6 linked regions of the Tribolium castaneum genome follow. The protein of the gene in region 3 purifies or fractionates together with the protein of the main gene of each other region. This does not show direct contact. Links are inferred from orthologs where the notes say so. Each region holds a gene or a part of one and is shown on either strand. Other genes may lie near its edges.

Region 1 (3,500 bases), on a different chromosome or scaffold from region 3:
TGTTTTTCTTGACTTTATAGGATGTTTAATTTTTTTTTTCAAACTTAAAATAACTAAAATAAATGCAAATGTTGGTAATAATTATATTTCTGGCTTGAAAAACCTCATAAATCTTTCGAAAAGCTGATATTTTAAGTAATTTTTTTCGATTGGTCGAAAATGATGTCACGAACTTTTTAGTACTTTCCCGATATTGTGAGTCATAGGAGCCTTTGTGTACTTTTCCTATTTAAATAAACTACTAATTTATAAAGACTTTATTATTTATTCTTGTTTCATAATGTTTTTCTTGACTTTATAGGATGTTTATTTTTTTTTCAAACTTAAAATAACTAAAATAAATGCAAATGTTGCTAATAATTATATTTCTGGCTTGAAAAGCCTCATAAAACTTTCGAAAAGCTGATATTTTAAGTAATTTTTTTTTGATTGGACGAAAATGACGTCACGAACTTTTTAGTACTTTCCCGATATTGTGAGTCATACGAGCCTTTATGTACTTTTCCTATTCAGAAAAACTACGAATTTGTAAAGACTTTATTATTTATTTGTCTTTCATAATGTTTTTTTTGACTTTGTAGAATGTTTAGTTTTTTTTTCAAACTTAAAATAACTATAAAAAATGCAAATGTTGGTAATAATTATATTTCTAGCTTGAAAAACCTCATAAAACTTTCGAAAAGAAGATATTTTAAGTATTTTTTTTTCGATTGGGCGATAATGATGTCATGACTTTTTAGTACTTTCCGAATATTGTGACTGATACGAGCCTTTAGGATTTTTTTCCATTTAGATAAACTAAAATTTATGAAGACTTTATTATTATTTTTGTTTCATAATGTTTTTCTTCAAACTAAAAAAAATAAAAAAATAATCTTTTTCTTAACTTTGTAGAAGTAACTTCTTAAACGCTACTAAATTAGTTTGTAACTAGAATTTGGCAGAGATTGTTATAGTTTCGTTCCTCTTAGGTTGGTAGAATGTTCCCTCAGGCTGTGTACTTCCCCATCCGTACGTTATACCTAACTTTACGTACGGCAACAGCGCGTAAAACAAACACAGTCCAACAACAACCCCAAGACCAAACCGACACTCAAAATAACCAACAAGAGAGTGGCAACACTGCCACAATCACAACCAGCGAAACATCTTCAATCAAAGCAACACCTGCTATGATCCGCTGTTCAAAAATAATGAAAATGCAACGTGATATTCACACCACGGCACTGTCAAGTCTCGAAGGAATTGCCAATCAAATGGAGTGGTTTAGAGAGAATTGGTACGAAGAGGTTTTGAGACAGTTAAGGCAGGGTTTGACTAAATGTTACGCGATTGCGTTCGAGAATCGTGAAAGTGTAAATGAGGCTAAAATAACACCACATATACTTAATTTTGTGAAAAAGTTAATGTCGACGTTTGGCATTGGTGTTGAGAATATTGGTTCGGTGGTTACGTTTAATTCGGCAGCTAGTGAAAGTCTGGCCAGGAGAGCCGAAGCTACGTATCAGGATCCGGTGTTTAAGGAGATGAAGCAGGATTTTACCAAGGATTTTGATTTTTCGCAAACGAATTCGATGCGCTTGCATACGTTGATTTTTAAGCTGAAGAAGTGGATCAAGATTTTGGATAATCGTTCCAAGATGTTGTTACAGTAAGTACATTTTTTGGAAAAAAATATGTTTTGTCAAAATTTTGTGGTCTACCTTGTAGTTACGCTCACTCGTTTTGGCAAACATCATGATTGTTAAACAAAGTCGGTCGTCTTGAATAACTTTTATTTTAAAAACATGTTTTATTATGAAACACTTAAAAATATTAACTTGTCTTGTATTTCTTTAACAAAAACAAATAAGACAACAAAATATTTCAAAAAATAAAACAGGTAGGTAATTATTTGTCATTTATCCTAAAATGTAAAATTGTATCACACATTGTGTTGAGGAAAATTTTCTTGCACAATTATCTAACAAAAATATTTCTTTTACAAAACTTATCGCTTATCATAAGTCATATTTCACCAGAAGTAAAAAACAATCTAATATATTACCACACGCGTTTTTTCAACTTGACAGCCGCTTTATTGATATTTACATGATGACATGTATTTTGCAAGCGTAATTGCTTATAAATTAATTGAGATTATGTCATTTATCAGTTGGATTTTCTCATAAAAGGGGGAAAACAATTAGAAACTAATTCTGGGGAATTTGTAAAAAAATTTGTAAAAATAAATTGTAAACAAGAAAGGAAACACAGAAGAAGAAGAATGAAGCAAGATGGATAAAATAATAATTAAAATAAAATAATTTAAATTGTTTTTTAGGACAGGTAGGTAACATTAAAAGGGTTATTATAAGGTATAAAAAATCTACATTTTTGTAGCAAATTTACGAAAGCATAATATTTTAATCAAATTAACACTGGAAACGTTAATAAAATTTCGATCAACTGTGCAGCAAAAATTGAAGCTGTTAAATTTATTTTCTATGATAATTTGTAATTAAAATTCTTTGTAAAGCTTTTTAATAGCTTTTATTTTGTTTTGTTGTCAGTTTCATATTTTCTGAGTCAAGCTTTAAAGGGTTTTTATTGTCCGAATGAACTGTAATTTTGCATACTTACGTAATTTCCGTGACAATGCAATACTAATTAGTTCGTCACTCAAAAAGGAGGTTAACTTTTCAATTTTCGAAATACGGTTCAAAAAGGTGTAGAAGTAATTGTAAAAAATCTAACAGTTGAATTATTATTATTATTATTTTTAAAATACTTTATTTTTTTACCCAAAAACCTATATAAAAAAGATATTTGGAAGCTACCAAAGAGTAGCTTGAGCCCGTTATGTCAATGTAGAGTTAAATAAAAACTTAAGATTAAACTTAAAAAAACATATTTTGAACTTCAAAATAACCTGACTCTTGAGTTAACTTAGACTTTTCTAAGTTTTCAGGCCTGACCTGACTTGACTGTTGAGTTTACTTAGACTTTTTTTAAGTTTTTAGACCTGACCTGACCTAAAAATTGAGTTTACTTAGACTTTTTCTAAGTTTTCAGACCTGACCTGACTTGACAGTTGAGTTTACTTAGACTTTTTTTAAGTTTTTAGACCTGACCTAACCTGAAAATTGAGTTTACTTTGACTTTTTGTAAGTTTTCAGACCTGACTTGACCTGACTGTTGACTTAACTTAGACTTTTTCTAAGTTTTCAGACCTGACCTGACTTGACTGTTGAGTTTACTTAGACTTTTTTTAAGTTTTTAGACCTGACCTAACCTGAAAATTGAGTTTACTTAGACTTTTTTTACGTTTTCAGACCTGACTTGACCTGACTGTTGAGTTAACTTAGACTTTTTCTAAGTTTTCAGACCTGACCTGACTGTTGCGTTAACTTAGACTTTTTTTAAGTTTTCAGACCTGACCTGACCTGACTGTTGAGTTAGTTTAGACTTTTTCTAAGTTTCCAGTCCTGACCTGACCTGACTGTTGAGTTACCTTAGAC
Region 2 (2,809 bases), on a different chromosome or scaffold from region 3:
TATAAAAACACCGCCAATTTTTTTCCGCAAAATGCCTCACTTTCGCGTTGAGACAAACGTGCCCCAGAGCAAAATCCCGTCCGATTTGCCTCAGAAATTGTGCCAAGTTGTTTCAAATTCCTTATCAAAGCCACTCAATGTAAGTTTGAGGTTACGTCAACTTTGAATAACTCAATTTTTTTCAAGTATTGTGTGGCTACTGTGATCGGAGACGTCCACATGTCTTGGGGGGGCACCAGTGAGCCCGCCGCTCAAGCCACTCTGATGAGCATTGGCGCCTTGGGCGTGGAACCAAACAAAAAGCACGCCAAGGCTTTGTACGAAGTTGTGTGCAAGGAATTGGGGGTTTCGAAGGACCGGTAATTGGGTCTTTGGTGTGGTTTTGTACTTTTTGTGTTTCTAGGATGTATATTCACTTCGTGAACGCGCCGACTAGCGATGTGGGGTACAATGGGACCACTTTTCATGATATTTTCGGGTGATAAGTGATAACGAAGCAATGGTGTTTTGTTTTATTTCAAATAAAAAAAATTATTACAATTTTCTATTGATTAAGTCAAGAAACTAAACTTACAGCTAGGGAGTCAGATTCAAATAATAATAATACGGGAAGATTCTAAACGCCTACTTAGTCCAAATGATTTTTTCGTCTAATAATAGTATATAATTCGTGTTGAATATGTACATTATGAATATCCTTACAACTAGCCTTCACTCGGCTTTATTTTCGTCATTTGTGGGCGAATGCCAAGTGAGACGCTCTTCATAGAACCTAATGACAACTTGGGGGCACTTAATATTCGCCTGTTTCGCGGGCACTAAGTCCGCCTCATCTGTACCCTCCCACTTCATGAGGAACATCAACTGCCCGGAACTATCCGTGGCCCCGATTATTTTTTCGGGCTCTAGCCCCCTATCAAACCCGTGCACTTTCTTCTCGTCGTTCTTCCTCTTGGCCCCCTTCATGTCGGGCGTCGGCGTGCTGTTCATCTTGCGCTTCTTGCTGCGCTCCTTGTCTTTGTTGGCCCTTTCGGCCTCGAAAGCCGCAATCAGCCCGGGACAGTCCAGGTTCTCCTCGGGCTCCCATGTGTTGTCCTTGTCGTCGTAACCGATCCATTTCAAGTAGTATTCCTTAATACCGGCCGCATTTATCCGACTGTCGATTATTTTCTCCACAACGTACTCTTCGTTGGCCTCTTGGTCTGCGGGGGAAGGACTCGTCCTCTTGCTTTTGCTCATTGTGCCCTGATGGAGAAAACACACTGTACACACCGGGGGGCGCACGGGGCACACTTACGCCGAATTTTACTCAACTTTGGAGGGATTTCGTGCAAGAAATTAAAATAACTTCAAAAGCCGCAAAACAGACGCTTTGCTCACAATTTTCAAACAAACATGGCGGAGGTGCGCTCCGCCGGTAACAAGCAGGTTCCTACACCCCTATTTACTAATTTAATGAATTAAAAGCCCCAAATAGTGATATTTCCGGTGAATTATTTATTATTCAAGCCGTTTGCGTTTATTCACCGTAACGTAAAGCCCCCCCAGTATGAAAAAAACGGTGGTTAGGCGCCCCAACTGAATCTGCACTTTTTGGTTTGAAACTTTGATAAATTTTGTTTGCAAAAAAAAATACGTGTAGGTTTGCAAAAATACTTAATTAAATAATTACTAAGTGTTAGTTGTGGGACAGGGTTGGAAAGTTGTTTTTTTTTTAATTTTTTCTACGTGTTATCGACAAGAATTTGCTGTTTTTCCTTGATTATTTTGGTTAATTATTCGCGATAGTAATTGTAGTAAATGCAAAAAGCTTGTTTTTAGCATTTTGGGGCTATTTGGTCTCATTTGAAGTGGTTCACTGTAATTTTTTTCTGGCTAGGAGGAAGCAAGGTTATGTGATTGACAGTTGACAGTTCTAGTTGCAACATTCAGGCCCAGTTTTTGGTTAAAAATGCCTTCGGACGCGGCCCCCGGGTCGCAGCGGCTGACCAACGACGACTTCCGCAAGTTGTTGATGACCCCGCGGTCGGCGCCCGCGAACGCGCCCGCCCCCGGCTCCATCCGGGAGGCGATGGCCAACTCGTCGACGATGCCGCCCCCCAAAGACGACAAGAACGAGGCGCGACGCAAGAAGAAGAGCTACTACGCCAAGTTGAAGAAGCAGGAGGACAATAAGATGGCAGAACTGGCGGAGAAGTACCGAGACAGGGCCAGTGAGCGCCGCCAGGGGGTGAACCCCGACTACCAGAGCGACGACCCGGTGGCCACGGCTCAGGCCTATCGTGCCGTGGCGCCTGATCTGAAGTCGGGGTTCGATGCGGCCGAGAGGCGCCGACAGATGATTCAAGAGAGCAAGTTCTTGGGGGGCGATATGGAGCATACGCATTTGGTGAAGGGGCTGGATTATGCCCTGTTGCAGAAGGTGAGGAGCGAGATACAGCACATCGAGCAGGAGCAGGAGCAGGAGTTGGAGAGGCTGGCGGCCAAGACGGAGGAGAAGGAGAAGAAGGAGGTGCAGAAGAAGGATGAGGATGAGCTTAAGTTTAAGACGAAGATTGGGAAGTCGATTTACCACACGATTTGTGCGCTGAAGAGTCGGCATATTGAACGGTCGGAGATTTTTGTGCCCGGACGCATGGCCTATGTGATTGATTTGGGTATAGATAAATTTTTTTCTTATCAATTTTTACACATAAACTACGTATTATAGATTATGTCTGAAATTTTCAGCTGTTCAAGCCTGTAATTCTTATAGACATCTTCTTAAGTTTCGTTTAAAACATTTTCAGATATACCTTTTTATTGTTTC
Region 3 (4,129 bases):
CTACGTTAAACATGAAGTGTTAAAGTAAAAACGAAACGAGTTTCAATTACCATCAGCTCAACTTCTGCTAGTGGTAAGATCCAATTTTTTGTTTCTTTGGCCTTCTGGGTTGAACAGACCCTTCCAAGTCTGAAGTATCCGATTCGGTTTCATTGTAATTTGAATCTTTACCGTCGGAAGATTCCCCTCCAAAAGAACCCGTGCTTTTGGCCTTTTCCAAGGTACGAACTGTAACTGCAACTATTAAAAAAATATTTTAAACAAGTCTGAGAAAATGTATTACTCTGCGCTTCCAGAAGACTGTTTTGCCTCTTGAGATCTTCAATATCCTGCTGATGGGAATGGTTCTTTTTCCTCATGAATACTATATATTCTGCAGCTTTCTTCAAAATTTGCGCTCGACTGGCCTAAAAAGCAAAGATACAATTGCCACGATATCTGTCTTACGAGTAATCGTTCAGCAAACGTGAAAAATCGGACAGACGTACCACTTTTTCGCCGTTGAGAGCAGGAACAGAGTCTCGCAAACTGCTAAAACTGTCTTTTATGTGGTCTCGCCGTTTCCTTTCCAGCGCGTTGTGGTGCGCCCGCTTCTCAGCCTAAACAGCATACAACCAAATAAACACCAAAGCAGACCCTTATTTTTTTTTACTGGTTAAATTGTGTGTCTGACCAAATAAATTACATAATGCAATAACTCAGCAATGACTATGACACTAGGAAAATTGAAATAGGCACAAAACGAAGAGGAACACCTTTTATTATAATTTTAAAAGTTGTAGCACCAACCTCTTCAAAATTGTAAATGGCATCACCCCCCTTTGTGATACATGTTTAGTTTTTCAAATAGTAAACAATTTAACAAAAACCATTTCTTAAAGACAATTATGCACCAATAAGATGAAATTGTCAAAAGACAAATTATTATCATTGTATTTTTTTTATAAACTGTTTTGCAAAATTAAATTAAGGCACATAATTTTCGTGTGAAATAAGTTTTCTTTATTTTAAACATGGCTTTATGTAAAACAATACTATTTTAAATGATTTATAAAAATTAATATTTTTATTTTCTGATTTTTTAAAATGCATTTATTCAAAACAAATTGTTATTAAATAGTTCCGACGTATTTACGCTTATGTAGTTACTTACAACTCAAACGTTTTTTTGCGTTTGACATCAAAGATTTGTCAAACTACACGCATTATGCGGAAATTATAATTTCCAAACAAAAAAATGCTGACTTTCTATAGCAGCTACATTTTTCAATAAAAAAATATATTTTCATTTAACGTGACGTTGGTTAATAATGCAAAATAAATGGCAACTTAATTCGAATCATGTAGTTTAATTCTAAATTAAATTTTAATTCCGCTTTCTGCAAACTGGCTCGTAAAAGAATTTATTTCGTTCGAAACTACAAACTTCTGTTATCAACTTATCAATGTATTGACAAATTTGAAAAAAAATCAAGCAGCTTTTATTCTTTGCCGCCAAACCTCGTCACCAAATGTTTAATTGCAAATATTAATATGACTCACAACGTTGACACAAAATTTTAATTCAGCAGTTCTAGTCTCTACAGTGTTATTTTTTTTATTCTTTGACTAATAATTATCGTTAAGGTCATTTAAATGCATAGTAGTCAATTTACTACAAAACAATATAACACGGCGAAGAAAAAAAGAACGATTTCGTTATTAGTACTATTATTTGTATGTATTTGTATTTACATAAATTCTCAGAAGAGAAAAGATTACTGAAAATTTAAATTAGTGATTTTAAAAGTGCAAAACATCTAGCGATAATAAATAAAACAATGTAAAGATTTTAAGCTTCAAGAACGTTTTTGCAGCTTTGTATTTAAAAAATATTCTATATGCAAAAGTAATCCTTACGGACAATGATTTTGCGATTGCAAAAATAATTAAAAAATAAGCATAATACAGTTGCTCAAAGCTACAGTAAATTTTATAAAGACTTTCTTCTTTAAAATGATTAAATTGTGCTTAAATAACGGAAGCTTGCAAAATAATAACCAACAGCTAATTTTTCCATAAAAAAACTAACAGCAGTTGTTTATTGTAAATTCATTTCGAGATGTTGCATAATTACAAAATTACGTGGAAAGCAGTGTTTATTTCCATTGCGATAAATGAAGACAAACCAAAAAATCAAGAATATTGAGGTGCAAAAAACGAAACGAAATAATTAGAAAGTACGAAAATTCGTCCCTGAACTGGTGGCCAATTAATTTACCTGTGAGTAATACTGGCTTCCAGTGGATTGTCTGCTGGGGGTTGGCTGCCGGGAATCCGAATCGTCACCTTCCTGAAATAGGGGGGTACATAATGAATCAATGTTAATATTGATCCATGTGGTGTTTTGTGTATAAACAACACTACTCACATCGCTTTCGACGTCAATATCCCGATCGTCATCGCTCATTGTAAGAAGTACAGAGTCCTGAGGTGAAAACGGCTTATTTCAGGTGTAATACACAACCATCGACTTGTACTTTTCCCAAAATGTCACAACACGAGCAAACTAGACGTGAGTCGCACAATGTGCGTGACCTGTCATACTTGGCCAACTAGAACCACTCGAAAGTCCAGTTCTTTGTCACAAAATTCCAAAATAGGGGCGACTTTCCACAAAACGGGGCGCTAAACCGTCAAGCACCGAACTCTATTAGCGATTCTGGGGCACTTTTCCCGAAAAGTGTGATTTAGATAAGCTTTCTGACGTTTTATTTGTACCCAATTTTGCACCGACCCTAGCTGAGAAAACAAACGTCAATTACCGACTGAGGCGTGCAACTTGTTGGGGTTACACGTGTTCTGTTGCGCACGTGATTTAGCCCAGACGCGAACCAAAAAAAGGGCGGAGAAAAAATTCAAATAAAAATAATAAATTTATTCATAACCGAAACCAAATACAGTTCAATTAAACTACAATAAAAAATAAAAATAAATTGAGCAGTTAGCTAAAAAAATTGTTCATATCTAGCTGAATAAATTATAACATGGTTCGTAACAGTCTAAAAAAAATAATATTTATTGTTATAAAATTTGATTTGGAAATAGTAACATTCAATTCAGTTTGTCTTATCTATTCACTAGTAACAATAAAAATGCGTTTTTATCATTAGTGTACTGGAGACTTGGACACCACAATACGAAATCACAAGACAAACAGTAAAAACAATTATTGGGTTAATAAAAGGCACTTGGGTGGTGAATTATATTGCAATGTCAGTACTGTTCACGATTACTACTCTAGTTAAACGGAGAAACTGATTGACCAATGGAACATGTAATAAATTTTGCAAACTTTACATAACAGTGTACAATAAAATGGTTACGTAATAGATAAAATTGTATTATTTTTAGAAGCGTTATGTACAAATAAATTACAATAATACCAACATTGCCAAGATATCACATAATCAGCAAAGTTACATACTATGTTCCACAATATATGGCAAGACAAAATCCACAACAATCCAAATCACGTGACGATTAACGCGTTAATATGTAACGATGCTTTTAGGGTGCTATTGTAACAGACGGGGGAATGTTATCACGCCTGTTTCTTGCCGTTGGTTGTGATATTAGTTGCATTTAGGACAGTTCTTTCAGCTACTTCGGCAGCCATTTGCTGCATACCGTTCTCGACGTAAGCTTGTACGACGGGTTTCATAGACTGAAAAAATAAAAATATTACGATTCACACAACAAAACATCGAAATCGTTAGTCAAATCCATGCAAGTATCTAGAATTGATTAGTACATACGTTTTCTTTCTTTTCTCTTTCTAAAATAGGCATGCTACAAAAAGAAGATATCTTTAGTTATAGCACTTATAGCACAACAAATGTGTAACTAAAATAACGGATATCTAAAGCTTAGGATATGAAACGACGTACAAATAAAACGTTCTCGTCCCCCATAAGTTTTCAGAGCAATGAATTTGAAAAAATGGTTGTATTTGTATAACTGTTAACACAGAGCAAACAAAAAATAAAAGCAGATTGTGCATTTAATTGTCAATAGTAAGACGGAAACAATGCAAAAATATAAGGTGAAACGCAAAATAATTATTCTAAGCGATAATTTTTTGCGGACC
Region 4 (3,500 bases), about 11 Mb from region 3:
CACTAACGTTCTCACTTGCCCAATGTTTCAGCCACGCGCGAAATTTACATGACAAGCGTTTCGTTATCGCAGGATGACTCTGAAACAAACAATGACACAAATTACCAAAGCATTACTTTTAAAATGACTTCATTTACATAAAAAATGTAAAGATAATCAAAGTTTTACCAACGTAAAGTAATGAAAAGAAAGTTATCAAATTGTTTTTAGAATTTGAAAATTCCGAAATAAAAATAAAAAAAACTTTTAAAAGGTTCTGAATCGTTTGTAAAAGTATGTTAATTTTTGAAAACTTACCTTTCTCGCTCTCGAAAAGGCACTTATTTTATACAAGTAACTATCCTTGTTAACCGTAAACATAATTTTCGGATCCTGTGAATTAAATTTACATTGCGTTTCATCCGAAACTTCATATCCCGGATGTTCCGTTTGATTTCTTTCAGGCAAAGGACATTCGCTAAACTTCCTCTCCAACTCCTCCAACATTGCAAATTTATTGTCCGCTTCGTCGGTCGTTGCCCTATTTGTCTTTTTGTTCTCTTCATCTTGATTCTTCTTTTGTTCGTCGTTCTCTTCCCTTTGTTGTTTATTCTTTTTTTCCACCACCGATGACGTTTTATTATGAAGCCCCATACGTTTTTTATACAACCTTAAATTCCGATTTAAATAGACCGGCGAACGCGGTTTATTGTCCACATGTGTTATATCCGCGTAACACTCTTTATACGAACTCCACTTTTTCGTATCTTCAACCTTTTTCGGATCCTCTGAATCCGTATCAAGCAACTCAATAGTCATCCTACAATCCTTCTTATAGATATAGATCTTGAAACAATTCTCGTCTTGTACAGCTTTTTCGCCTAGCCTTTGATACGCCATCTCTAGATGAGCTCTTTTGTGCGCTGTAGAACATGATCCTCCGGTAGCTCCACGTTTTTGTTCCTTGACAAATAAATCAGTGCAAGCAATTGCAGTTCGTTCAGTCACACAGTGCTGAAGTTGACGAACCGCATACGAAACCACTTTATCCAAAGTGAACGCAATATAAGCATGAATACCGAACATTTCTCGAAGAGTATCTTCGTAAGTATTAGCGTCCATATTACCATCCAAGAGATTTTTAACCATATCCAAAAATGCAACGTAATAATCTTCAACTTCAATCTGAGGCTTTGGTTTCAATCGAAGTGCAACGGCTGTACTTTCTTTACGACCTGTTCGAGATTTTGCTTCTTCAGCTGCCAGAATTACAGCACGTTCGTAGATTTTCGCCAAACGTTCGCATAAAACAGCATGAAGGCGAAGGAATATGTACCAATTATTATTGGCCATGAATAGAGTATAAGCTTCATCCTGTAACAATGAAAAAAAAACCTATAGAATAATTTTTTTTTAGTGATGTTAAGCTTACCGGATCTGAAACTTGAGCATGTAAAGGAACTTTGATGTCTTCGTCTTTACAATCAGGATCTGTTTTTACTTCAACTTCTCCGTCCAATCTTCCGGGAGATTTTCCTGGACTTGATTCGCTTTTACCTTTAGAGTTGTTCCCAGTGGGACTGCTTATCGGGCTGTCGTCACCATCCTCTTTTTCATCTGCAATAAAGCAATTCGTTTATAGGTAATACAATTTAATTCATATTCATAAAAAGTGACAATTTTTATTAATTTTTGCTTTAAACGATCACATTACCTTGCGATATTTAAGAATAATAAATAAACAATAATAGATATAATGATTTTTCACTAGCCTTTTTTTACACATCTTCAAAACTACAACAAAACTCGTAGACCAAATATCTTAAAACTTAATCAACCTAAAACGAAATCCCTAATCATCCTTAACTAAACTTTAGTTAAGAACCTCCTTGATAATAAATCAAAAAATAGTAGCAACAATTTTATACAAAGAAAAAATTTACCTTACAAATTTATTCAACTTTTACTTTTATTAAAACAAACTGTGAGTATATTAACGCTTTGAAAGTGTTTTATGAAATGGGTATCAACATTACAAATTAACGTCTGTGGGTCAAGGACATTCATTACTAACCCGCCTTTATGTACATAAATTTTCATTATTTGTAACACTCATATTTCTAGTATTACAAATCATTATATTATCGATACGTCAAGTACAGACCTACGTCATCATGTGTCACTGAACGCTACAACTTGTTTTTAATTTGAAATTTTTGCTGGTGGTATTTAAATGACTCAATAATTCGCAAATAATAAAAATAGCTCTTGATATTTTAACACTTCCAACTCGAATATGTTTTAAAAAAGACAAACAATATTTTTTCTTTTTCTATCCGTCTTATATTCAGGTTTTCTTCAACAGACAACTATGAGTGGGTATTAGGTTTTTTAAAAGTTATAAAAATTAAGATTTTTTTTAAATAAAAGTTAAAACCACTCACCGTCATCACGTTCGTCGTCCGTCAACTGCTGCTTCGGATGGAAAAACAACTCTGGCAAAAATTGTCTCAATAAATGCTTAATTCTCCTCTTCTCCCCTTTCTGTATTCCGGTCTGTCTTTTAACATGATGAATCAATAGATTCGCAGCATCATCCAAAATCGTCCTATCCTTGTAGGGCAATACTAAATGTGGTCCAACCACTGGCTCGGCACCTTCTTCATTCTGTTCGTGTCTTTCATCAAACAACGTCTCGATTTCATTAAACAAACTCTTTGATCGCAACGCTTTAACATCAGTCTGTTTGAAATTGATCCCTTGATGATCCAAACTCTTTAAGTAGTATTTTTCGTTCTGTTCCCTCCATATCTTATTAAAACCTTTTTGAGCTTCTCTCCATTCCTCTTCTTTCGCTTTGAGTCGTCGCAAAACGACCGGAACAGCAGTTTGAGGATTTCGTTTCAGGCCATCAATTATATCTTGTGCTTTATCACCGTAGATTCGTTTCAAGGCGCGTTGATGCAATGTAGGAGATGAACCACCAAGACAGTCGTCCAGACGATATTTGGCAACGTCTTCTGCATTCATACGACTCATTTTCTTGTTTACACCTTCGAGAACACGAATTGTTGAAGCGTTGGTTTCGATCACAACGTCCAGCTCGAACCTAAAATACAAAAAGTAAAATTAAGTACGCAAGTGAAAAAATAAATAAACAATAAATTCGCTCACCTTTCATCTTCACACCTGTACATGTACTCTTCATATTGTGTCTTTCGCGAACTAACAAAGGTACTATCTTCCGACCACGTTGGAAATGACACCCATTGGTCATTCAAAACTTCCTTGCACAACTGAGTTCGACCCGAACAAGTGAGACCTTCCTGTGACGGTGGAATGACGCAATAACTCGCACCTAGACGTTTCGCAGTGGTCAGATCGATTTCAAGTGCTGTTTCGCCTTGCGGTCGTTCAGTTCGTGTGGCGTTGTAAGGCATCGGTTCAACTTCGTTCTGACCAAGAAATTCACGAAACCATCGCATCAATTCGGGGAATTTACCCAAAAATGGAGTCACGAC
Region 5 (4,000 bases), about 3.1 Mb from region 3:
CTCTTTGAAACTCCTGCGTTGTTCTTATAGCCCCATTCTCTATATTCTTTCTAATCGTCAACAAATCCATGGGTCTATACACCACACTGTGATACCCTGGAGCTTGGTCATCGGTGATCGGTTTAGAAAACAGTGACGCGTATTTATTTGCAGCCAATCTACTATACACAAGCATTATAGACTTCTTCCAATTGCGATACTCCCGATCATCATCGTAAAAATATATACTGGAAACTGGTGATCCTGGAACTGAATCAATCGGAGTCGCAGGAGTTGAAAGTCGCCTCCTTGTCCGTATTGTAGACACATCTTCCTCCTCCGTCCAGGGACTGTTAGATCTTTCATTCTCGCTCTTAATCCGCGATTTGCTGTCTTTACGGTCCAGTTCGCTGTAATCCCGGTCAGAGAAACTCTCTTCAACCAACTCACTTTCGTCTCTTTGCGCCTTTTCAATGGCCAAGAGAACATCAAATTCTTTATCGTCCTTCTTCTTCGTCCTGGAATAATCGCGCTTTGCTTTCCCGGTCTTGTCCACTTTCACTTCCATATTGATATCGTCGTACAATTCCTCGTTATAGTCGGAAGTCAATGTGGTTGACTCGTCCAGTTTCCTTTCGTCTTTCTTCTCAATCTCTACACTAGATTTTTCATTTTCTGAAACTTTGGCGTCTGTTTCTGATTTTATTTCCGCAACTTCTGTACTTTCCCCTGCTGTTTCTTTCTTTGGTTCCGCTTTAACGGAATGGGCTGGATCTTCAGTTTTATTGACTTCCTTGTCAGTATCCTCATCATCCATAACTACAACTTCTACAATTTCGACGGATCCAGGAGTTGTGCTTTTATCTTTCTTATCGGAATCATCAGTTGGTTCGTTTTTTACTTCTACCAGTTCATCCCGAGATTCTTCGCCATTTGAAGTTAAGTGTTTATTGTCTGAATTTGGGGCTTCGTCAGTAGTTTGTGACCGATCGTCGCTGTCCTGTGCTACCATAGTTTTAGAAGCGTCTGTTTTCACGGCTGTTGCAGGTTTAGCGGGTTCAAAAACTTCCGGATCTTCTTGGAACTCAAACGGATCTATTGCCGGTGTTGTAGTTTCCGTCCGTTTTTCTGTTTCTTTGGTTTCGTCCTTCATATCAGTTTCACTCTCTTCGAAATCTTCCAGTTCCAAATTTAGATTAAGATCACCGTTTCCATCCAGTTGTAGATGCTGTTCCGGATCTGCAACTATATCCTGCGCGTTCTCAATCAAATCGGAGATGATAACATCAACGTCATTCTTTATTTCTGGAAGTGGGCCATTCTGGATCAAGATACTGCTCGCCAAGTCATCAATTTTCAAAATTTGTAGATTGGCATCATCGAGGATATCGTTAGTATTGACATTCTGTTGTTGGGTTTCTTCTCCGGTTGGCTCTTGTCCTATAGCTGTACTAACCAAAAGTTGCAATCCTGGAGAAACTGTTTCTCCAGTTGAGGAGCTTAAAAGACTGGCAATCATGGGGCTAGTAGTTGTGTTGGTTGGCCGTTGGTTGGTAATCGCTGAATGCAATATTGAGGAAGTTGTAACGTTTGGAACTTGTGATGGTGATTTCAGAAGACTTGTCAGAAGTGGCGATAGGGCCGGTTTAGGGGGCTCCTGCACTAGGATTTTCTGTTCTTCTGTTGTATTTTCCATCTCTGGGATTGTGTCCATAGCTTCGGAATTTTTACGTTTTTGACCAATCACCGGGGATGGCTTAACTGGTCTCCACGCTCTTTCTATTTCCTGTTTTCGTAACTCCCTCTCCTTTAGCCACTGTTCGTGTGCCAGGGCTTCTTGTTCCTTCCTGTGTTCCTCTTCATCTATTTCCTTACACCAAATATCCAGTTGTTCTTCACTTACGTTACCTTTAAATAAAACAATTAATTATCAAAAAATACTTAACCGAATTTCCGCAACAGTCTTAAGTTTGAGAGGCTCTAATATAGCCCCTGTAACTTCAAACAACTTTAATTTAATTGTGAATACCTGACTGAAGCAGAGCTTTATCTCTCTGCAATTTCTGATATTCTGCTTTTTCTTCCGCTAGTAGTCTCTTGAGCTCAGCTTGTCTCTCGGCCAAAAGTTTGCGTAGAATGACTTCGGCGGGGGTTTCGATAGTGACTTCGCCCCCAGACGTTCTTTTCTTCCTCTTAGGTGTTTCAACATTCGCTAAAAGAGCCCCATACTGGGCTGCACAGTTCTTCTGGTGGAACCAATCAGGGGGTCTGTTGGGTTCACCAAAGGGTTTTAAAGCTCGGCTCACACTTGTTAAATTCTGGTCCATGTTACGAGCCACTGCTAGAGCCAACTGTTCACGGATTGACCATTTATCCAGCGGTTCACGCTTTATTTGTAAACGTTCTTCAATTGAACTCATTTTGAGGTTATGTTGGCCCGAACGTCCAAAAATCAAATACAAGAACCTTGCCAGGAAAGTGACTAATAGTATCACTGAATAAACATTCTTGAAGTAGAAATTCGCACACAAGAATTATCGTTATAACAAGCTTGAACGTTGTTTATATTTGTCAACTGTCAAAGTGTCAAACCTGGACAAACTATGCAGAAGTTTTGCCTGATTTTTAAAGAAAGTCAACCACAATCAGTGTAAGATTATGTAATGTTTCAAGCACACTTGTCTAAATAATTTCGTAAGATCTTATTATTCATAAAAATTAATAATCTTGAAAATTTCATACGCAGACATTATTAGATATTACGTACAGACCGTGATTTTTGACGAGGGCTTTTATGATCGAAAAGTATTAATTTAATGACTGTTTTTTAATTAATTAGTGTATTTTGGGTGTAGCTGGTTTAATGTTATCAAATACATATAGATTGTGGCCACCTTTTTGTATTTGTCGAATTTTATGGCATATTCTGTTATTAAGTATTTCGGTAGCTTGCGCGGTAGCTACTTTAGTGGCAAGTTGTCAAATTTTTAACCTCACTTTCTTGCGAATGGAATGCAATAAAAAATGTTTTTTTCGAATGCTTTGGAAGCTGTTTCTGGTGGTAGCTCCACCCAGTGTCCCAAAGTGAAGTAAAAAAAGAAGTTGTGAGTGTATACATAACAATCAAATGTAAGGATACTCTTTGAAAAAAAAAAAAAAGGTGGAAACAGTATTCAGAATGGCCCCCGAAGGGCGAATCAGTTATTACATCGACAAATATGGAGTGTTTCATAAAAGTGGTGGAAAAAACGACAAGCCGGTGAATGCACCAGCGTTTGAGACAAGTGTGACAAGACCTTCCTCAACTTGGCTGCGTCTGATAATAATGTTTTGGAATGCAAGAGTTATGAAAGCGGCTTTTCGTTTTGGCGTTGCTGCAATAATCATGAATCAGTATGAGCGTCTGGGATTTGCGGTCCTCTTACTGTGTTTCACGCTATGATAGTTTACTTTGTAACATAGTAGTTGAATAAATTTGTTTGAAATGTTTTTGTGTGTTGAAGGAAATGCGGGCAAACTGTAAAAATGCAGCTTTATTCAATTATAAACCAAATTATAACAACAGTTAAAACATTAAATAATTTGAGATTACTCTAATAGTTGACCAAGAGGGTAGCGATGCGCAATTTAAAATAGGCACTTTTCTACATTTATTTACATGATTCTGAAAAAAATCCCTACTTATAAGGTGAATATGACTGTGAAGGAAATTTTCAACAAATCGTAATTTTGTGAATAAGAAATGATTTTGTTAAAATCGCTCTCATCGTCAAAAGCATTTCCCAAAGTTACGTCACCTAATTTGATAACAGCATGAGCACTTTCGGTAAAAATATAACAGACTTCGTTACAGAATTGCAGTTTTAACCCCTAAAGTGTGTGTAACTACATCCTTTACAACTAAAACACTTCATATACTCTACTCTCATTACGTAACAAAGCAATATTTATAATTTCAGTCTAGGCTAGGATTCATCATGGCAAGAATTTGTGAAACCTATTTTAACATAAATTATATGAT
Region 6 (3,698 bases), about 11 Mb from region 3:
TTTGAGGACGTCTGTCATATTTGATTCTGAATGTTAATTAATTTACCGTAAGTGAAGCGTAATTTGTGATTTCTGGTATCAGTCGTTTCAATTATTTTTGATTAATTCAAGTTGTAACACAATTAATATTCAAAAGGCCAATTAATATCAATATTATTAGTGACAGAACTTATACAATCAGGTAATTTGATGGCGATTACTCAAGTGTATGCATATACTAGATGGAATGAAAACCCTAACCCCTATTAGCTCACCATTATCAATTGTACAACTCTTTGGGTTCACCACTAAATAAATCATTAAATTTTAAAACACATTGAGTACGTGAAATTTTAAATATCTGATAAGTTATTTTTAAGTAAACAATATTAATGCATTATTTAGTACATAATAAATTATGAAAGTAGCACGCGACTGTTTTCAACACAACCAAAAAAAAATATTAATAACGTTGCATTGGCAAGTAGATATCCACTTAAATTAAAAATGAAAGTCACTGAAAAATAGAAAATTTCGAATTTATTCATCACACACCATTTTCCATCAAACAAACATACGGACATCACTCATAAATACATTAACAATGAGCAACAATTTATAATACAAATTAGCTATTTCGAATATTATTACATAATATAAATGCATTTAATGCGGGTATATAAAGTCCTTCACAGTCTTTACTCGATAAAATTTTCTTCGAAACCCGAAAAAGTAAATCGTCTACGTTGAACAACAGCTGGTTGGGGCAGTGACAGCTAGGAATCGAGTACTATCTCCGTTGGCTCCTCTGATGATAGTCAAAAACATACAGGGTGAGTCGTTAAACGCCGATTCTTTCATTCCCTTCTTATAACTTAAGCGCCCAACAATTAGTGGAAGTTGTAAGTAATTCAAAGTTTTCAAACCTCCGGTTTCCGAAAGATTCATCAAACACCATATAGATTCCGTTTCATTCAAGTTAAAAAAAATGTGAATACGGTGTTGTCGGTTTTTTCCTCTTGAACGCGCTTTCATTTTTATTAAAAAAGTCTCAAAACCTTCATTACCGATGTGGAAATAATGCTTTTTTTAATATAAAAAATCAAGATGAAAAAACCTCAAGGAAAAAAAGAACGAATTTATCTCGTGCTTTGGACCCAATTTAGTATTTTTTGAATTCAAATTTCGCGAATAAGTGAGTTTCTGATTGAAAAATGCACTAAAACCTTACACAAATTTGATAATTTTTTGATTCATGATGAAATTCGGCGAAAATTTCTATATTTACAGTAAAAAAGAATTTAGTCACGTGATTACGAATTTAATTGCGGATTAAATTAATGACGCTTTGAAAAAATTCACACAGTACATACAAAGAAATAAAAAGAAGCTACAATAAACGCAAATTTTTTGAGTGATATTTGGTTTTCGTTTCATACTTTATTTTACTTTATTATTTATTATTTTACTGACCATTTATTAATAAGTAATTAAAGCGTCTCTTTGACATTGTGTGCATTCGAAATAATCAAATAATTGCATTTATTTACGAAAAAAAAAACAATCCTTTATGAACTACACAAGATAATGAAACAGAGACAACAATGTTACACTACAAAAAAGAGAAAATAACCTTAACAAATATTTAAAACAATCTCACTTCCGGAGTTGATAATCGCAAATATTTCGTATACAAAGCTTCCACTAGTCGTTTGTTTGCGTTTAAATCATAAGAGGGCAACGAAAGACGGTGCGTTTAATCACTCACCCTGTATATACAATCAAAGTAAAGTCGACGTCAGGCGTCATTGTCCTTCGAGTCACTGACACGCCACCCTTCACCTCGCGTCCATGCTGCTCTCCGAGTGCGATCCATGATCCGAAGAGCTGGAGCTGGAGATCGTCTCCGTGGACTTGCTCTTGGGCTTGTACTCGGTGATGATGACCGTGACGCTGTTGACGGTGACTTCGCGTGTCTGCGCCGTACTTCTGTCCACATTCTTGAGTCTTGGTGGATGGCGCCGTTTCTTCATCGCCTTCTTGTCCTTTTTCTTCTGTTGGCTGGTGGCGGGTAGGAATTGGCTGGCGACCTGCTGGGCCACCAACTGCGGGTTGATACGCGGCTTGCGCGTCGAGGTGCCCTTCCGGACGTCGCACATCAGGCATTTGAACGCCTCCGCTGTGTTCCTGAACGTGCACACGCTGCAGTCCCAGAAGTTCTCCTCGAGCACCTTTGCTTGACGTTTTGCGCGTCGGATTGGGCTTTTCTTGTGGTCCATTGTGGGATAATTCACTTTTTACGAGATTGCTGACAGCCAAAACACACGTCTAACGCCATGATTGACTCGAGTTTGACAGGAGAATGGTGCGCATGTGTGGCAAAGGGTGGCAGCATTGTGGCGCCGAGTTTGATTCGAAGGAATCAGCTGATTTCAATTTACAACTGGAAAACTAAACTCGGAGCGGTTTTGCATTTATTTGCATTTTTTTTAAATGGCTAATTTTAAAAATGTCTCATTATCAAATAAAACCTATCTTATTCGATAGATTTTGATGTGCTCTTTACGATGGAAAAAAGCATTTTTCCTAGCTCTTTTAGTTTGGCGATAATCGGCGTTTGAAAAATGATTTTTTTTTCAAGATATCGCCTTGAAACCTATGTCATTTTTGTAGGGCTTTTTATTCCGATTCTCAGTGATTTTACCGTTTTTCTCTGACTCTGTTTAACAGTTTCGCTTTAATCGGCGGTTAAAAATTTAAAAAAAAAGTGAAAATGGCGACCTTTTTTGCGTTTTTTCTGGAGTTTGTATGACCTAGAGCAACAAACAAAAAAGCAGCTGATAGCGCCTAAAATTATCTATTTTCATCATTTGACAATTTTTCCATTATTACATTTACAAAAATTTACTACGTCATTGCTGTTGTTTAAAAATTAAATCACCAGGTTTTTTTAAATCTAGCTTTGTATTTTATTCTTTCTCAAGTAAATTCTTGCATAACTGTTTTGTATTTTCTCATAATAAAATCATTGGATTTCTTCTGTGTATGCCTATTCGTGTCCTGTCATTGTAAGTTAATTTACTGACGATAACACTTGCTATTTTTACGATTTCCAACAATTTTTCGTTTCTTTTTTTTCAGCTAGGATAGATCTTCTATAACAATTAAAGCTCTCATGGAAATAATACCTAAAACATTAAATTGTTTTGATCATGGTTTAATTAGCATATTTCATATGATATAGAATCAGATAAATGAAATTATATAAATTAGTTCTGTACTACAAATAAATTTAGAATCCGATATGATCACAATAGTACTGCGTCTGAAATGCAGAAATTTCCCTTGAAAAATGCATTTTCTATTGTTGCATTTTATTCAACGTTTGTTATGAACAATCTCCGTACTCCAAATAGGAAAATTGCGCTCGTTACTGCCGCATAAATTATTCGTTCATTAAAATATGTTAATTTTAATTTAACTAACGCTGTAATTAAATTCAAAGGGTTCAGTTGCAGCAACACTATTGCATTTTTTCCGTTCAAGGTAATCGCTCATTATCACGAAATAATTAACAATAAGCGGGTTCACACAGATTTCTACAAAATATAAGGCAATATCCACGTCTTTATAATCCGGCTCATAAAAGGTATTGCCTAATGTACAAGCAGGACAAAACAAGGACTCTTGGATGGTGCATTCATGGCAAAGTTTTGACT

The links.
Region 1: the proteins of Max (region 3) and Nipped-A purify together in Homo sapiens (affinity purification with mass spectrometry; 6 studies listed by BioGRID and IntAct, with this or other methods). This does not show direct contact. The link is inferred for Tribolium castaneum from reciprocal best matches to the Homo sapiens genes MAX and TRRAP.
Region 2: the proteins of Max (region 3) and chromobox protein homolog 3 purify together in Homo sapiens (affinity purification with mass spectrometry; 3 studies listed by BioGRID and IntAct, with this or other methods). This does not show direct contact. The link is inferred for Tribolium castaneum from reciprocal best matches to the Homo sapiens genes MAX and CBX3.
Region 4: the proteins of Max (region 3) and Sin3A purify together in Homo sapiens (affinity purification with mass spectrometry; 3 studies listed by BioGRID and IntAct, with this or other methods). This does not show direct contact. The link is inferred for Tribolium castaneum from reciprocal best matches to the Homo sapiens genes MAX and SIN3A.
Region 5: the proteins of Max (region 3) and Brd8 purify together in Homo sapiens (affinity purification with mass spectrometry; 3 studies listed by BioGRID, with this or other methods). This does not show direct contact. The link is inferred for Tribolium castaneum from reciprocal best matches to the Homo sapiens genes MAX and BRD8.
Region 6: the proteins of Max (region 3) and RYBP purify together in Homo sapiens (affinity purification with mass spectrometry; 3 studies listed by BioGRID and IntAct, with this or other methods). This does not show direct contact. The link is inferred for Tribolium castaneum from reciprocal best matches to the Homo sapiens genes MAX and YAF2.

The regions. Positions count from the first base shown.
Region 1 is NC_087401.1:16,678,124-16,681,623, reverse strand, and holds part of Nipped-A (transcription-associated protein 1), read left to right. Parts: intron 1-971; coding exon 972-1,651; intron 1,652-3,500. UniProt on the Homo sapiens protein: Adapter protein, which is found in various multiprotein chromatin complexes with histone acetyltransferase activity (HAT), which gives a specific tag for epigenetic transcription activation.
Region 2 is NC_087401.1:16,339,791-16,342,599, reverse strand, and holds chromobox protein homolog 3, read right to left. Parts: upstream 1,455-2,809; 5' UTR 1,298-1,454; intron 1,246-1,297; 5' UTR 1,240-1,245; coding exon 712-1,239; 3' UTR 501-711; downstream 1-500. Other genes in the region: macrophage migration inhibitory factor homolog, read left to right, coding at 32-139, 187-359, 404-482; beag (protein Red), read left to right, coding at 1,952-2,657.
Region 3 is NC_087396.1:13,930,743-13,934,871, reverse strand, and holds the start of Max (protein max), read right to left. Parts: upstream 2,801-4,129; 5' UTR 2,450-2,800; coding exon 2,411-2,449; intron 2,333-2,410; coding exon 2,261-2,332; intron 600-2,260; coding exon 489-599; intron 408-488; coding exon 284-407; intron 241-283; coding exon 68-240; 3' UTR 51-67; exon of another isoform or gene 1-50. Other genes in the region: atl (atlastin), read right to left, coding at 3,584-3,706. UniProt on the Homo sapiens protein: Transcription regulator. Forms a sequence-specific DNA-binding protein complex with MYC or MAD which recognizes the core sequence 5'-CAC[GA]TG-3'. The MYC:MAX complex is a transcriptional activator, whereas the MAD:MAX complex is a repressor.
Region 4 is NC_087396.1:24,654,453-24,657,952, forward strand, and holds part of Sin3A (paired amphipathic helix protein Sin3b), read right to left. Parts: coding exon 3,154-3,500; intron 3,089-3,153; coding exon 2,424-3,088; intron 1,597-2,423; coding exon 1,412-1,596; intron 1,354-1,411; coding exon 298-1,353; intron 80-297; coding exon 1-79. UniProt on the Homo sapiens protein: Acts as a transcriptional repressor. Corepressor for REST. Interacts with MXI1 to repress MYC responsive genes and antagonize MYC oncogenic activities. Also interacts with MXD1-MAX heterodimers to repress transcription by tethering SIN3A to DNA.
Region 5 is NC_087396.1:10,840,535-10,844,534, reverse strand, and holds the start of Brd8 (bromodomain-containing protein 8), read right to left. Parts: upstream 2,801-4,000; 5' UTR 2,400-2,800; coding exon 2,009-2,399; intron 1,888-2,008; coding exon 1-1,887. UniProt on the Homo sapiens protein: May act as a coactivator during transcriptional activation by hormone-activated nuclear receptors (NR). Isoform 2 stimulates transcriptional activation by AR/DHTR, ESR1/NR3A1, RXRA/NR2B1 and THRB/ERBA2.
Region 6 is NC_087396.1:24,591,174-24,594,871, reverse strand, and holds RYBP (YY1-associated factor 2), read right to left. Parts: upstream 2,363-3,698; 5' UTR 2,259-2,362; coding exon 1,818-2,258; 3' UTR 1,748-1,817; intron 788-1,747; 3' UTR 501-787; downstream 1-500. UniProt on the Homo sapiens protein: Binds to MYC and inhibits MYC-mediated transactivation. Also binds to MYCN and enhances MYCN-dependent transcriptional activation. Increases calpain 2-mediated proteolysis of YY1 in vitro.